Linked DNA regions of Schizosaccharomyces pombe. Changing the gene in region 2 together with the main gene of any one other region gives a genetic interaction. Each region holds a gene or a part of one and is shown on either strand. Other genes may lie near its edges.

The links.
Region 1: mutations in mks1 (region 2) and get2 together harm fitness less than expected from each alone (positive genetic interaction), as found in Schizosaccharomyces pombe (one large-scale study listed by BioGRID).
Region 3: mutations in mks1 (region 2) and xap5 together harm fitness less than expected from each alone (positive genetic interaction), as found in Schizosaccharomyces pombe (one large-scale study listed by BioGRID).

What each region holds. Positions count from the first base shown.
Region 1 is NC_003421.2:187,032-191,895, reverse strand, and holds get2 (GET complex subunit Get2), read right to left. Parts: upstream 2,783-4,864; 5' UTR 2,638-2,782; coding exon 2,113-2,637; intron 2,053-2,112; coding exon 1,804-2,052; 3' UTR 1,495-1,803; downstream 1-1,494. Other genes in the region: kinetochore protein fta7, read right to left, coding at 74-370, 494-658, 717-873, 1,051-1,166; vacuolar H+-ATPase assembly protein Vma21, read right to left, coding at 3,304-3,428, 3,482-3,573, 3,747-3,796.
Region 2 is NC_003424.3:1,259,176-1,265,704, reverse strand, and holds mks1 (protein Mks1), read left to right. Parts: upstream 1-2,417; 5' UTR 2,418-2,944; coding exon 2,945-3,050; exon of another isoform or gene 3,051-3,095; coding exon 3,096-4,732; 3' UTR 4,733-5,415; downstream 5,416-6,529. Other genes in the region: chaperonin-containing T-complex epsilon subunit Cct5, read left to right, coding at 163-1,803; SPOM_SPAC56E4.07 (N-acetyltransferase), read right to left, coding at 5,633-6,340.
Region 3 is NC_003421.2:752,892-757,784, reverse strand, and holds xap5 (splicing factor, xap-5-like protein), read right to left. Parts: upstream 2,534-4,893; 5' UTR 2,529-2,533; coding exon 2,380-2,528; exon of another isoform or gene 2,317-2,379; coding exon 1,599-2,316; 3' UTR 1,495-1,598; downstream 1-1,494. Other genes in the region: protein Emc6, read right to left, coding at 24-279, 361-420; SPOM_SPCC1020.13C (DDHD family phospholipase), read right to left, coding at 3,154-3,650, 3,692-4,432, 4,496-4,893.

The sequences.
Region 1 (4,864 bases), on a different chromosome or scaffold from region 2:
TCATGGTTCGGGGCCAGGGACTATATGTTAACATGTAGAAGTCATCAAGTCTTAAGCTCTAGCTTTTCTATGTCTAGATATTCTTTATCTTAAGTTTGGATGACTTATTTAGGCCTATATTTTTTGTATTGTTTAGTCGTTGTAAAAGAAGAGTAGCTTTTTGTATAGTTTGACTTAATTGAACAGTTTTATTTGCATGGATTTGCATAGTTTTCGTAAATGGCTTTAATTTTTCTTTATACATATCCAATGTAGAGGTTTTAGAAGTATTAGAATCTTCTGTATTCAGTTTCTTTTGGAACGAGAAATCGTTGGAGTCTGAAAAATTATCATGGGATATCTTTAAGCCTTTCTTCAAATAAGGGTGAAGCTAAGAAAATATTAGTGATTGCTTGATTATTTACATAACTGAAACAATGGAAAACTCATTTTGTGTCATATGTTAAGATGAAGTCTTGAATAAAACATTCGCCTGTTCGTGTTTTAAACTTACTTTAGATTTTAAATCGGCAAGCCGTGAATTATTTATGGCCATGTTTTGTTTCATTTCTTCGTAAGATTTCTGTTCATTCTCCAAACGAGCAGTTTCAACCTTCAATTCCTGTTGAAGTACGTTAATATGGTCCAAATCACTGTATAATTGCTGTTCCAATTGCATCTAAAAATGTTAGTCATATCTCTTTCGTATGTATGCGTATCAAGACTTAATAACTTACATTCGAAGAAAGTAATTGAGAGAACAGTATTGACTCTTTTCTTTTCCTTGGTACAGGCAAATTTCTCAGAGGAGCTTCGATTTTTAAAAGTATATTCATGAACCATTCCTCGGCCAAAGATTTTCTTGTTTCTGATTTTATTGTATTCAAAACCAATCTGTTACGATAGCACAGTTAGCATACGTACACATAATGACTAAAAAAATTTGGAAAAGTACTTAAAAGACTTTTCCAGGTAAACATCAACAGCAAACTTTGATTTCCCTTTCAGTACACAAGTAAGCGCTAAAAAGCACAAGCACTTTTAGCAATAACATGATTCTCAATTACTTACCTTGAACACGTCCTAAAAATAATTATTATTTCTTGGCGCTGCTTATCCTCTAATGGACGCCATCTTTTTTGAATTTGGTCTCGACGCACCGCGCGAACGCGCCTTTTCATTTCCATTGCATATATTTATAAAAATGGTGCTACCACTTCAATTTTCTTTTAAGCAATCTGGAACTTAAATAGCAAAATATGTACGTATGGTTTTATATGAAAAATTTCTCTATAACAAGAATTCGCCGTTTCAACGTTTGCATGCTGTTGTAGCGCTTCGGACGAAGTTGTTTTACATATATACAGTCAACCAAGCCAATTCTCAATTACTTATTTTATTTCAATAATAAGTTGATAAAAGATTTTAAAAATCATAGTTATAATGTTTTCACAGCTATCCCAGAAATTACTTTAAGTAGTCTGTTTTTAATTAATACTACAATTACAATAAACAGAGCTTTTTAAATCATATACTATTGCTACCATTGAATTAAAAGAGAAAATAAATAAAACGTACCGACAATCGTAAATATGGCATGTGTTGCAAAGCAGTTCAAATGAAGTGCAGTATGTTTTAGAATATAAATCGTTTAGATGTTGAAAAGATAATATAAAATTGAATTCCTAAGGGTTTGAAAAGTCTTTCTCGCTTAATCAGTTAGTTTATTTCATCTAAACAAAAATTGAATGCTAATTAATCGATCACCAATTTGCGAAGCAAAACCAAGATTCATAAATAGTAAATGCTGAAAATTAACAACTATTAATACACCAACGACGGATAAAAATAGCAACATAAACCTAACGCAAATATTGTCATACACGCATCTGTAATCAATTGTGTGAAATACGGAACATAACTTGTTGTATGACGGATCATTGCTCCATAGGGAGGGGGAAGCTGAGAGGCCAGAGATGCTAGAAGAGAATAAGAAGGTCCATTATTACGGTCCAAAACAAATTGAATAGAGAACAAGCAAGCTTCGACAGTAAATGTCCACGGAAGTAATGGCTGAAATAAATATATTAGTATGCAAAAAAACAATTTCAAAAAAGGAAGATGAGGACTTACCAAATGTTTAAAATAACAAACAATCACTACTATAGAAATTGCCAAAAGATGAGCATATTTCTCAACTAAGTTTTTTAAAGGAGCTGTAGCTTGAGGAATTTGTTCGTTTTCACCTTGAAAATTTGTATCAGATCCCTCCTTTGCGGATTGTAACATAGCTTGAAAAAAATTTGCAAAATCAGGGTTTTGATTAAACATGTTTTCAGGTGGTACATTATATGGAGAATCACACTGAAGTTTAAAAGGCGAACTTTCCAAATTATGGTAATCTTGGGAAGGAAGATATTCCACTTGATCAGCATTGAAGGTATCATCTCTCTTTTCCATGAATCCTGAAGACATTGGCGTTACTGGTGTTGCAGTTTCAGAATGTACAGCTTCCTCGGAAGCTGTAGCTCGAACATCGGATTGACTGTCATCTGAATTCTGTCCCAAAATTTGATTGATTCTAGATGCACCTCCTTGTTTGATTTTATTCAGTCGACGTTCACGTCTAAGTCGAGCTTGTTCACTGGCAGTCGACATGTTCGAAGTCTTTGAATCAGCAGAAAACAGAATAAAATAAATAATTAACACCAAACTTTTTTACAGATATATATTTTTATCAATATTATATTGGGAAAAAATCAATAATGCTCACTTGAACAACTTTCCAATATACGAGGGGTTTGGGGTGAGAGAAAATAGTGATGCATAAGTGTTAGAAGAATACTGAATTCCTACAGCTGTTATGTTTGATAAGAATCATACATGTTAGCCTTATATTATAAAAAGGAAAATTTAATTATAAAATTGGTTGAAATTGCCATATCAATTGCATTTTGCTAATTCGTGTTTTTTGGGAAACTACAAAAAACTAAAGAACAGACACATATTTTCATTACAGACTAGCGAAAAATTAAACAAAAAAATTTCCGTTCATTAATTCAGATACAAAAAGGAGTAGTATCACCAGCAACAGCTTTGTGGTAGCACCTTATTCAATAGACATACATGCAAAATCCAGTAGATTATAGGATAGTCCCAGCTAAAGTCTTTCATTTTGCGATACTTTTAACGAAAAAAAATAAAGACATCGAATGATTCACCTAAATACGTTGGCAGAAGGAAAATCCGCTTCAAAATTTGATTTAGAATTGAAATGCAAAAGTCATAACTCAAAATAGTAGTAAAATGGTTACTGAAAATTTATTATTCCCTTTTTATATCCTTCTTGGGAGTCCCGGAGTCTTCGCGAAAGGCTGCGACTATATACAAGGCCAAGATAATATTGACCATTACAGCTGCAGATAATCCTGCGTACAATGTTTGATATCCTAAAACAAAATTTATCAGTAAAAATCAAAATTATTCAACAATTAGTATATACCTTTGAATAAAGTCTTCAACGTCCAAAAATAAGTTATAAGTGGTAATGTAAATAATGCGACACTAAAACCCACAAACTTAAGCAGAACATTACTATTACGAAAGTTAGTAAGTTTTCATTTCCAACATATTTAGTTAAGAATATAAAAGGAATAAACAATATAAGAGACCTAAGATTATAGACTGTTGTGGAAGGTTGTATGGAATTTCTTAAAACCAATTCGCAGTCCGGCGTAAAGAAATAAACTAATAATTAATAAACTTACGTAGGTATAGAGTTATTATTTGTATCTGAAACTTGGGATTTCCTTTCCATTTTAAATCACGAATGCAAGTTGTTGATGGTGGTGGAGACCTAATTTATTGGGACCTTGCTTTATAAGAGGTCAAAGTTTTGTCAACATGAAAAGTAGACAATTGATATTCGTATGTTGAAAGTCCCTGAAATTATTTGTCATCTTATTAAAATTTATTATCTTTGTTTATAACATACGGTAGACTTATACGTGCGACCTGCTTAATTTGTGTTTACATATAATAAAATACCTGGGCGACAAAGTCTCCAAATTCATAGTTCCTTGTTGAAATATTAAATTAATTAAATTAAATCGAGTAACAAATGTATGTTAGGGCTTGGTCGATGATCATAAATAAAACTGCAATTTACAAACTCACATTGAATTGTTTAGCAGGCAAGGGTGTATCAAACAGTGGTGATCAAAAAAGCAATACTCAATTACTCCTCTGTTATAACAAGTGATTTCACACCATCCATCTTCACTTGATACAAGCATTGCTATGTTGACGTTTTCATCAGCGGACGAGCGGTATAAAAAAAAGAGCAAATAGATTACTCAATGGGTATATTTTATGCATTAAAATTTACCATTTTAGCTTGAAATCAAACTGTTGAAGTAGATTTTTGAGGTAATAAAAAGCATTTAATATAACGATAAGATCAAGCCTAGGTTATGTAAGCTACGCAGTTTGGTATCTGATTTAAGGATACGTAGAACTGCGGTGAGTTTTCCTTGTGGTCTATTATATTACAATACACAGGTTGTATAAGTAGCAACTGAGTATAGGTATTGTATTAACTGGGTTATAATGTTACCTATCACTAATATAGCTCATAACTGAACTGAGGAACGAGGTTCAGTTGTAACGCTATTTATAATATTTCTAAATAGTTGTTATCAACGGGTATCTATGTATATAGACGGATAGTTACCCGTGATTATCAATAAACGGATCTTAGCTAGTATTCCAACATATGACATATAGTGATACGCAACGTAGTGTAGCATAGCGTAGTGTACTATTCCTGACAGGTTAAAGTATATACGGCATTGCGATAATTACCGTTAAAATCCAGTAAATTTTT
Region 2 (6,529 bases):
AGCTTGAACCTCAAGTTATTTCAACGATTTAAAGGGAAGTAAGAGATAAGGTTCTTTGTGAAATCGTTCAAAAGTATTTCAAGGATTTGGGTTAGTGTAGCGTTCAGTTTTATCACTTGAAATTCATTTGCATCGACAGTTCACAATAACAAGATGAGCAAAATGGCCGGTCTAGATAACGCTGTTATGGTCCGTGACGATCAAGGAAATCCTTTCATTTTAGTACGTGACCAGGAAAAGAAGAGAAGATTGCATGGAATTGATGCTGTAAAAAGTCACATATTAGCTACCAAAACAGTTGCTAATATTGTGCGTACTTCTTTGGGTCCCCGTGGACTGGATAAAATTTTAATCTCTCCAGATGGAGAGATTACGGTTACCAATGACGGTGCTACAATCCTCGACCAAATGGAGGTTGAACATCAAATTGCAAAGCTGTTAGTTCAGTTGTCTAAATCTCAAGATGATGAAATTGGGGATGGAACTACTGGTGTTGTTGTACTAGCAGGTGCATTACTGGAGCAGGCCGAGGCACTTATAGACAAAGGTATACATCCTATAAGGATTGCAGATGGTTACGAAAAGGCATGCCAGGTGGCTGTTAAACATTTAGATGCTATTTCAGATGTTGTCGACTTTAGTCCCGAAAACACTACTAATTTATTTCGTTCTGCTAAGACTAGTTTGGGTAGTAAAGTGGTTTCCAAAGCTCATGATCACTTTGCAAACATTGCTGTGGACGCGGTCCTTTCTGTTGCTGATTTGCAGAGAAAAGATGTTGATTTTGAACTCATTAAAGTAGATGGCAAGGTTGGTGGTTCAGTGGATGATACAAAGCTTGTAAAGGGTGTTGTGGTGGACAAAGACATGTCGCATCCACAAATGCCTCATCGTATTGAAAATGCAAAGATTGCTATTTTAACCTGCCCTTTTGAACCACCAAAGCCAAAAACTAAGCATAAGTTGGACATAACATCAGTGAGTGAATTTGAAGCCCTTCAAGCTTATGAGAAGGAAAAATTTCAGGAAATGATTAAGCATGTAAAGGACGCAGGAGCTAACCTTGTTATATGTCAATGGGGTTTTGATGATGAAGCAAACCATCTACTTCTTCAAAATAATTTACCGGCTGTACGTTGGGTGGGAGGTCCCGAAATCGAATTGATTGCTATTGCTACAAATGGACGAATTGTGCCCCGATTTGAGGATCTTTCGTCTGATAAGCTTGGTTCAGCCGGTATAGTGAGAGAGGTGTCGTTTGGTACGACTCGTGATAAGATTTTAGTTATAGAAAAGTGTGCCAACTCTCGAGCCGTAACCGTTTTTGTACGAGGAAGCAATAAGATGATTGTCGATGAGGCGAAACGTGCTTTGCATGATGCACTCTGTGTCGTTCGTAATCTGATACGTGACAACAGAGTAGTGTATGGTGGTGGTGCTGCTGAGATTTCTTGCTCTTTGGCTGTCACCAAAGAAGCTGAAAAGATTCCTGGTATTGATCAATATTCCATGGGTGCATTTGCAGATGCTTTGGACACGATTCCTCTTGCCCTCGCGGAGAACAGTGGCCTTTCGTCCATCGAAGCTCTTACAGCAGTTAAAGCTCGTCATGTAAAAGAAAACAAGGCATATCTTGGTATTGACTGTTTGCAGACCGGAAGTAATGATATGAGAAAGCAGTTTGTTATTGATCCTCTTATTGGAAAGAAACAACAACTGCTTCTTGCTACTCAGCTTTGCAGAATGGTACTCAAAGTTAACGATATTATCGTTGCCGGTTCTAAGGATGATGACTATAACTAAATGGCATTTTCATCCGCACGGCTAAAGGAAATTTAATTTACTTCATTTCATACGGCAAGCATGTGCTTTTTTGAATAAAATGGTGATTCTGTGTACTTATGTCAAAATAAAAAATTTCTTGCATATATATAAATTTTTTCTACTAAGCATCATATTGAGTCCGTATTTCCAGTTTCAATAGTATTTTTACCTACTCAGAGATTGTGAGCTTTTCAAAGCCTTCAGACACTCTAACCTTGTTTATGGCATTATTTTTATACTAAACTCTGTTTATGATTTGTTCCATAAAGCTGTACAAATAGACCAAATACATCAGCGCTCAAGACGGAAATCGTCGGCTACTTTTTCCGCAAAAACGCTTCTGGTAGCACCTGTAAAGCCGAGTTTGGGCAAAATGATATCAGTTTTCTTAATTGAGCCATGCGAGGATATTTTCCTAACATTTCTCGCTAATCTAGACTGAGTCTTTTCGCACAGAAATCCATTAGTATTGGATTAATGTATTCATCAACCTTTGTTCCTTTGCTTTCCTTCATTGTAAATAAGGAGGTTTAGTGTAGTAGCTTGGACCAAATCCGACGCTTTTTAAGAGGGGTGAAGAAGCAAAGCAAACCAACCTCCACACAAAAGAAAAGAACATCAAAAGACTACGATTTGCTGATTTTCAGTAAAATCCTGTAATTAAACGGCAAATACTGCCTTTAAGTTCAGCGTGAAGTTGAAATTAAAGGAGCTTGAGCTTTATCGAAGTCACTGCCTTTTTTGGAAGAAGCTTCATTAAAAGTTTGCAATACGTTGAAATCTCTCTTTTGTATCCCGCCTCTTAGTTATCAATTGATATTATCTTAACTTTCTTTACTATTTCTTTTTTAGTTGATCTATTCTCATTTTTTAAATTCTCGTTTGTCCTCCTTTTGTTTAAAGCAACCGGTTGTTCCTTCTGTACTGAGTTTTAAATCTTTTTCCTGTCCTGTTTGATCGGATAAAAGCTCATTCCATCTTTTTGTTGAGCTTGCTGTAGAATCTCAACTATACCGATTGATTTTACTACTTTTTTAGAGCACATTTGCTTTTCTTCAAAAAAAAGTATCCTTCACTTTTTAAAGCAAATTTATTCATTCATTCAGTTGATCATAACATAATGGCAAAAAGAGTCGTCTCCCCAAACCCAATGCTCTCGTTGGAAACTGAAAATATCGCAAAAATGGGTACCTTAACTGCGGATAGCCTGGGATCTATGTGGAATGGTAATGTGGTTAACAGATGCTCTATATTAACTCTTTTTTTTCTAGTTTTTACCAAGTGTGCTGAGAACCTTGAAAACGGTCGTCGTTTAGAAAATATATCTTGGCGCCTGTGGTATCGTGAAGCTATGATGTCCGATGCTAATGATGCTTGTCAAATTGCTTGCCAGGAATCTTCCGTCCCTGATCTTTCTTCAAGTTGCGATTCCATTAATTCTACCGTTGAATCGGATGCGGGTCATGTTGTAGATTCAAACTCCTTTAACAGGATTGACAATGTTTCCGTTAATGCTCCTATTGTGAATGAAGTTAGCTTGCAAGCGCCAATGAAGGGTGGAAGTCATTCCTCTATTGTTAGGCCACAAGCCAAACGTTCCAGCTCACGTCTTTTGTCTACAGACGCATTTAGTCAGTTCATCTCTTCATTTTCACCGCCGGAAAAACCTAGTATGAAGGATTTGGCCCTGTTCCATGGAAATAAATCACCATCTTCTAAGGAAACTATACCTAAGGTTTCCAATTCAAACTCATCTGATACTTCGACTGATGATCAAGCTTATTTGAACGTTAGCGTTTCAGAAAACGAGCATGCTGATCGGTCGATTAAGACACATTCATCTGCACCTCCTTTGAATCAGCAAAAATCATCTACTAGTGTTAATGATGCAGTTTCCAAAGCCATACAACTAGTCAAGTCTACCAGCGATTTAGGTAGCCTAAGTACAAATACATCTTCAACTGCTCAGAAAAATAAATCAAGAAAACCCACTAAGTCTTTTAGTGATGCAGTCGCTGCTGCATCTCGGGCTAAAGAGCTCGAAAAAGAAAAATTATCAAAAGTCACTGTAACCCCTGATGATTCTACAAGTATTATTCGGGGGTTTGATCCAAGGTTGCCCGTTCTATCCACGAAAAACGTTAGTCATGAAGAAAAAAGTCATTCAGTGCAAGATGACAAATCAAAACAATTGTTAAAACCGAATCCTACGCAGCCTTATTTTTACCTGAGGGGTTCTTTTGATACTGGGCATTCGGCATCGTCGTCTATATGTTCAGCTGCTGTCGATAGCGAATCTGTGAACTCTGCAGACTTTCCGCATCGCACAGTTTATGACCCTCTTCCTACTCATGCGATAGCCGAAAGTATATCTCAAGAAAATGTTATTGAGGATGATGATGATGATGATGATGCATGGGTATCTGTCGATGAAGCAGAGTCACCTCATTTTACAAAACGGTCGCCTGCGCCCTATCTTTCTAAGTCATTCCGGAATAGTGCACTTTCTTTGCTTTTGTCTCAAGATGAAAAGCTACAACACGACGTGCGATCAGCTTCTTCAGCCGCTTTGAATTTACCGAGAGATACTGATATAAAGGCAACACCAAATTTATCCCAAAGTGGAAATATTAATTCCGACAACTCTGACTTGAGCAACTATCCTTACAATGATTATCGTGTATACAGAATGTCTCATTGTTCTTCTAATTCGAACAAAGTATTAGCCTCTGAAATATCTGAAAGTCTAAGAAGAGACCTACTTTGGGAACGGCGGCAAAAAGCAGCAATGAACAGTGCAGTTTTACGAAGACAGTCAAGTCAATCGAGTGGGGCTAACGATGATAAAGAAGTTAGAAACAGAAAAGTTGTCGAGAAAGGTTTTGCTAATGATTGCTCCGTTTGGTGAGCAGAATACTTAATTTAAAAATTTTAGCTGTTTTTTCTTCATTAAAAAATTTAAAAAAAAGTTATTAGCATATTGGACTCGTGCAAAATGGCTTTGCAATATTTAAAAATTCCTGTAATTAATAACGTCAGTCATTACATTCTGATTATCCGATTTTTTCTTTGACTGATTTCGTTAACTTGTGATACGCGTATTGACTTGTTATTTAGCCTGAAAAGTCTACGCAGCCAACGATGGTGATAGGAAAATCTAGGGTAAAACCCCCCTTCAGCGATGAAAATTCACAGGTGATTCTTTTATACGTTCGGAACTGTTCGATGAACGTATTTGGCAAAGCTATTATTTATAACACTCTTTTCTTAATTTGATCTTTAAGGTTGGCATATCATCTTTGCTAAGTTTATTTTTTTAGTATCTGTGCATCGGATGTTAAAGTATGTTGTTTAATAAGCTTAACTTAGCCGGTTTTCATACCAATGTACATTATCTAAAGAATTAATCCCTGTTTAATAATTTAGTTTTTGAATCTTAAGTTTTTCAAAAAAAATTTTTCGTTTTCAATTCGTTTTAACAATGTTGTATTTGACGAACTTTTTTATTCTTTTTATTTATTAACATTGTCATCAAGTTTTTATTTTCAAGCACACTACGCAATCAATGATATTTTTTATGAACTGATCCCAGCTTTTCAGTAACAATTTATATAATAAAAAATTTTATTGTAGTCTGAAGCATATATTTGTCTATATTTTAATGTCGAATCATTGAAGGTCTCAGAAATTTGTAGAATAAGAAAAATAGATACAATCAAGCGATGAGTTCCAAAAAAAATTACAAAGAAAATCGTATTTATAGTATTGATTTTGATCAGAATAGCGATTCTGTCTTTATTTTCGCTTTTTACGTTTCATGAGATGACGGTTGTTTGGGCTCACGAATCATACCGGGACTTTCTCTAATTAGTTCACCGGTATCCTCGTCGACCAAATTCGCTATAACGGATGTTTTATATCCCAAGTGCTCATACATTTTGAAGGCCATTTTACTAGCCATAAGGAAGCATGGAATTTGATATTCATCGGCCAAGTCATGAGCCATGTCCAAAAGATAGCCACCGACACCATTCCCTTGAAGAGCAGGATCAACACAAACAAAATGGATGTGGATAAATCCTTTAGGATTCTTCAGCAATCCAGTTTTATAAAGAGCAGCTCCGTATTGCAATTCATTATAGTGGAATCGTTTTTGTACAATTTGCGCACCATACCACCAATACAAAAAATTGCTGTAGTACTTGTTTAAGCTTTTCAAAATCCAGTCTCTATAAGAGACGTTAGGGTCAGGCGGGAATTTTTTAAAGGCCAAAAATCCAACGTACGGGTTGGAATCGGTATACGCGACTATGCAAGTTACATGTGGATCAAAATACGCATCTCGAGTCAGCTGCATGGTTAATGCTTTCATCGTTTCAGAAGACATTCCTTTGAACCTCCATTTCCAAGTCGCACTGTCGCTAAACGCCAACAAACTAACTTCCGTTACCCTTTCGATGTCATTGAATTGCAAGGGTCGATGCCGCAGCGGTTCCCCATTCACGGTCTTTACCATTTTGAGAGGGTATAAACGAATGTAAAGTGAGAAAGGAATATATTGAAGTAAGTTACCGCTACTCAAATGAGATGAATGCTAAAAGAATGCGTTACTGCGTCTTCACTCCAGAGAATATGGCTCTGAGTAGCTTACCGAATCTGCGTTAAAAAGCTGTGACTATGAAATCAGAGTAAATGGCATGTTGCA
Region 3 (4,893 bases), on a different chromosome or scaffold from region 2:
CAACGATCGAGCAAGTTTCTTACCATATACTAAACTGTAGAACAATGTCCAAGTTAAAACATAAGAAGGTGCGCCATCTAATATTTTAGCGATCCAAAACTTATATCCGGGCTGGTAATACTTAGTTAAGTTACCACGCATTTTCAATGCAAAGAGTAGAAAGGAGACGAAGAAGTAACCGAGTACATACAGAGCAAGCCCTTCATATGAAGTTAAACCCAAAATACCAGCTGCGCACCCGAAAAAACTAGAAGTCAAGTTTCGAACAAAAGAAACGACCTTTGGATTCATTAGCACTCAATTATAAAATCCTTAAAAAAACTAGTACCAAGAAAATCTAGCTCTGCAATCATTTCTTACCTGTTCATTATATGCAACATTTTCTACAACAATTGGAGCGACGCCTTTATCCCTTTCCATATTAGCTTATGAACAATTCTGATGTTTAGTTGAGTTCACCGCTTGTAGAATTATAACCAAAAAATGATGGATAACGCATCTTTATACTGCGGTATTAACTACATAAGGACTTAGTAGGAACGTAATTTTTTCGCAGCTTGACGTATCCTTAAAAGCATTTTGCAAACTGCGTAATTGCCAATCTTTCATGTAAAGCTACAAGCGATATGGATATGGGAAAAAGCATTACTTTTTGCTTGGGCTGAATGTTGGCTAGTTTGGAGGGTGAAATAGTTTATTCAATACAATTGAGTACTTTATTTTTTTCCATTTGATTTTTTTGAACAGAAATGGGCTAATTACTAGGATATTGGGAAATCGCATTGTTTAAAAGAGGTTCTCGTTTTACATCAAGGTCGATTTTTCATATTTATTTGTTTTAGAAAAAAGTATCATCTTATATTTCCTGTATTACTGGTTTTCTAATTCTAAAACTTGAAAATGGTGGATGAAACGTTACATACTAGATTGTTTACAGTATACCGAAAGGATTAGAGACTCGTGAACATTCGTAAAAGCGACATGCTTATACTTCCAAGAGAACGAAAAGCGAATTTCATTTCTTATTTACAATAGAATAGTTATTCTCATCATTCAGTCACGATCACTTTTTTCTTTACCAAAAATTGTATACCTAAATAGCACAGTATAATCCACCGCAAATTAACGTATCGTTAATATGTTTATGATCAAATACTATGTATTTGCATACCAACGCTGCGATACATTAAATAAAAACAAGCAGAAATATGAGAATTCAATAATAAAGGAAACATTTAATAATTCCAAAAGCGAATTGCTAATTTTTTAATTACTTTATTTTACAATATCCTATAGCACATCAATGAAATCAAGGTTTTCAGTCAAGGTTGGAGTGATGTTGAGAGTAGTAAGTGTAAATACTAAAACCCATTGCGAATACTTAGTGGATAATATCTGTTTCTTTTTTACCAAAGTCTCTCTCTTTGTATAGCTTATCAAGTTATATGTTTGGCGCAATTCATTTGTTTAAAATACAAACATAAAAACAATATAGTTGTAATGAAATTGTTATTAAATTAGTCGATGAGGGAAGTATGAGTATGCAAAACAAAAATAAAGAACCAAGAGAAAAAAAATCGAAAACTTTTTAAAAGGCATTATGAGGGCCGGTAAAATAATGCAGCGTTAGGATCAGTTGCATGCTTTTCCAATGAATAATCTTTTCGAGAATCAAAGACTTCCCAATGCACACATGGAAACACATGGCGATTTTGTAAATAATATGATTTTTGAACTAGATGAGGAATGCATTGAGAAGGAAGTTGTGTAGTTGCAACCATTTCTGGACTAGAGCATGACAGCTTATCAAAGTCAAATAAAAGTCCATCACGTCCTTGAACTTTATTAATGTAAAAGTAGTAAAGCTCATGGTGATGGGGAATGATTAAATCAGATTGAACCAGTAAAAATTTATCCATATCCAGAATCCTCTTCAAAAATGGGATTTGCTGTTTCATATCAGCAAGAAAGTGTCCAACCGAATCTTTCAATCTAGTCCTTACATGATAAGTGGTACTTGTTCCATCGTAATAGATAAATGGTATCAAAATCTCTTTTTCCCGAATTTGCTCCTGCTCTTTTAGCCATTGTTTGCGATATTCGGCTCGCTTCGCGTTTTCACGTATTTCTCGCTCTGCATCTGGCAAAAAGGAGGTATCCGCAGATGGATCCTTTCCCATAAACATTTTTTTCTCAACTTTTTTTAAAGGTAGATCATCATTCTCCAGTTCTTCATCTTCACCAAAAGAAAGTTTTCCTTTGTTAACTTTAATGCCCTGTTTGACCTTTTTGCTTAAAGCATCTTTTCTCTTTTTTCTAAAATTGAATTGTCAGTCATATTTAGAATACTATCGGGCTTTTCTCGTTCTTTTCACTTACATTTTAGTACTTGTGGTTGATAGCGCATGTTTCTCTCGTTTTTCAACGATGTTTTGTTTTACTCTTTGATAATCCTTTAAATGGACTAAACCAGTCGTACTATTTCGTAAAATCTCATGAATTTCATCGGCATCAGTATGGCCGCTCATTGTATGAAGAATTCAAAAAAACGTGAGTGGTGAGCGTTCTTCCAAATAAGCTTGAATACCCAAAATACCCTTTTTTTGCCTCGGTTTTCAAATCTCAAAATGAAAGAAATGACTATTACTATATTTATCGTAGAAGAAGAACATGTTTTTTACATTTACCTATGAGGGATCCTAGAATAAACGCACACTTTGCCAAAGTCACGTTGCATATAAGTTTTTTATATTTGTCAAAACGGTTATTAAATAGAATAACAACGAGGTGGGGCACTTTGAAGCATTCTGTAATCTTTAACTGCTTGTATAGACACTTTTTAAAACCAATCTAGAGACAAATAAAACGAATTACTCGTTTGTATTAACAAGCTTTGGAAAAATAGCAATAGATTAAAAACAAAAAAAAAACTAGCTAATCACTAGTGTTGCTATAAATACTCTAATAAATTTTCGTATCTGGTCATTGAATGCAAAACCATCTTTCGAATGCCAATATATAAAGTCATTAAAGTGATCCTAAAAAATCATCATTATCCAATGTTCATCAAATTCATTTTAATTTGTCCACTTCGCATCGCTAATAAATATGAAGCTCGCTGGTATACTGTCAGATAAAATAAAAAGAAAATTTTCAAGAGCTGTCCCCTTTGAATATACGTGGCATATGCTTTCCACGAAATTGCTCAATTGAATTGGCAATACCAAAGTTTCGGCCAGTTTCCACTACTAAAAAGCAAGCAAGATCCTCACTACTCCAGTAACTGCTATGAGCCGAAAGCATAGAAAGATATTTGTTTGAAATGACCCCATGGGCACTCGTAAATACGTAGTCCAACTGAGAGTTTTCATTCAACTCTTGCATGCGCCACTTGGCCCTTTCTTCTCTGCGAAAATTGCGAGTCTCTAACTCGACAGTCTGTTCAGGCTCCAGTGGGACCACTGCTGTGGGCTCATTGTTTTTATTTTGCTGCAAAGATTGATTGTAACTTCGAAGTTCCACAGGATCAGTATTAGAATGTGAGATCATTCTCAAAATACTTGAAGATTTTCTTGTGAACAGTATACGAGTTGGGTGGATGCCTTTCGAAAATGAGAGATCCACTGTGGGATTTAATCGCATCGCAACGGCTAATTTGTTAGTAAATACGATAATTTAATGATGCGCTTACGATCAAGGTGATTATAGATGTTATAAAAAGAGTCGACTGCGAGACATCCGTACCGATCATAACCATCGTAAGTATATGACTTTGGAACATCAGAATTTATAAAGTTTTTATTTATTTCGTATCTTGATGAGCCTCTTCCACGACGAGGAATAATACTTTGTTGATTCAAATGCAAAAAAAAACCTACCGGACCACCAAAACAAAAAAAACCGTTTGTGTCGAATATAAAGCAGCTTTCATCATCGTCTATAGTAATTTCTTTGACAAAAGTGGGTTGAAGTGACAAAATATCAAAAACAACTGTGGAGCCCAAAGAATGCCCAATTATAAAGATACGGCCCTTGTTTTCTAAAAAGTAAGGATTGCAGTCCTTCCACAAATGGTAAACCCTATTAGCTTCACGAATTACAGACTTTATAATGGATTCTTTGTGATGAGACATATAATAGGGAATATCACTCATCACATCTCCTAATAACCTTCGCACCGCTGGAATGCTATCAATTTCAATATCCTCAATTGAAAATCGATTTTCTTCAAATTCTTCATCCTCAACCCGTCCTTCATCACCGGCAACTGGCTTTATATATGAATTAAAATTAAGCTTATTTCTCCAACATATCGGAAGAAGTTGTGGTTCATAATCGTTTCGAATCAACGGATCCTCTTTCATTATGTTTTTCTGAATTTGGATCAATGAACGAAAAACGTTGCACGTCTTGGTAAATAAGAATCGTTCCTCTATATTGTCAACATTAGTAATTGAATGCCGGTGTAAGATAAAAAAAAATCAAGTTTACTTACCAGTCTCTGATCTTTTTTGACCGATACCATGAACCACCAAAAAAAGATCTGTAACTTGTTTAGGTCCATTAAAACCATCATCTTCAAAGTAAGGAAAATCTCGAACGACCGGCATACCTTTAATACTGGTCCTTCGAGATTGAGTCCCTTTTGAAAAATAGGATAACAAACCTCCTTGACAAATGAGTGCTCTATATCCGTCTTCGTAAAATACATATTTGCCAGAGGAGGTAGGTTTAAGAGGCCATTGCATCGCATCAATTAATTCCTTAGAGGACTTGTTACGTTTATGAGACAATACAGAAGGATCATCTTGAGAATCCTTCCCTTCTTCTTCTTCTTTTAAAACATTATCCCAGTTAACGGCGTATGGCTTCACTTCCTGGTAGCCCTCTTCT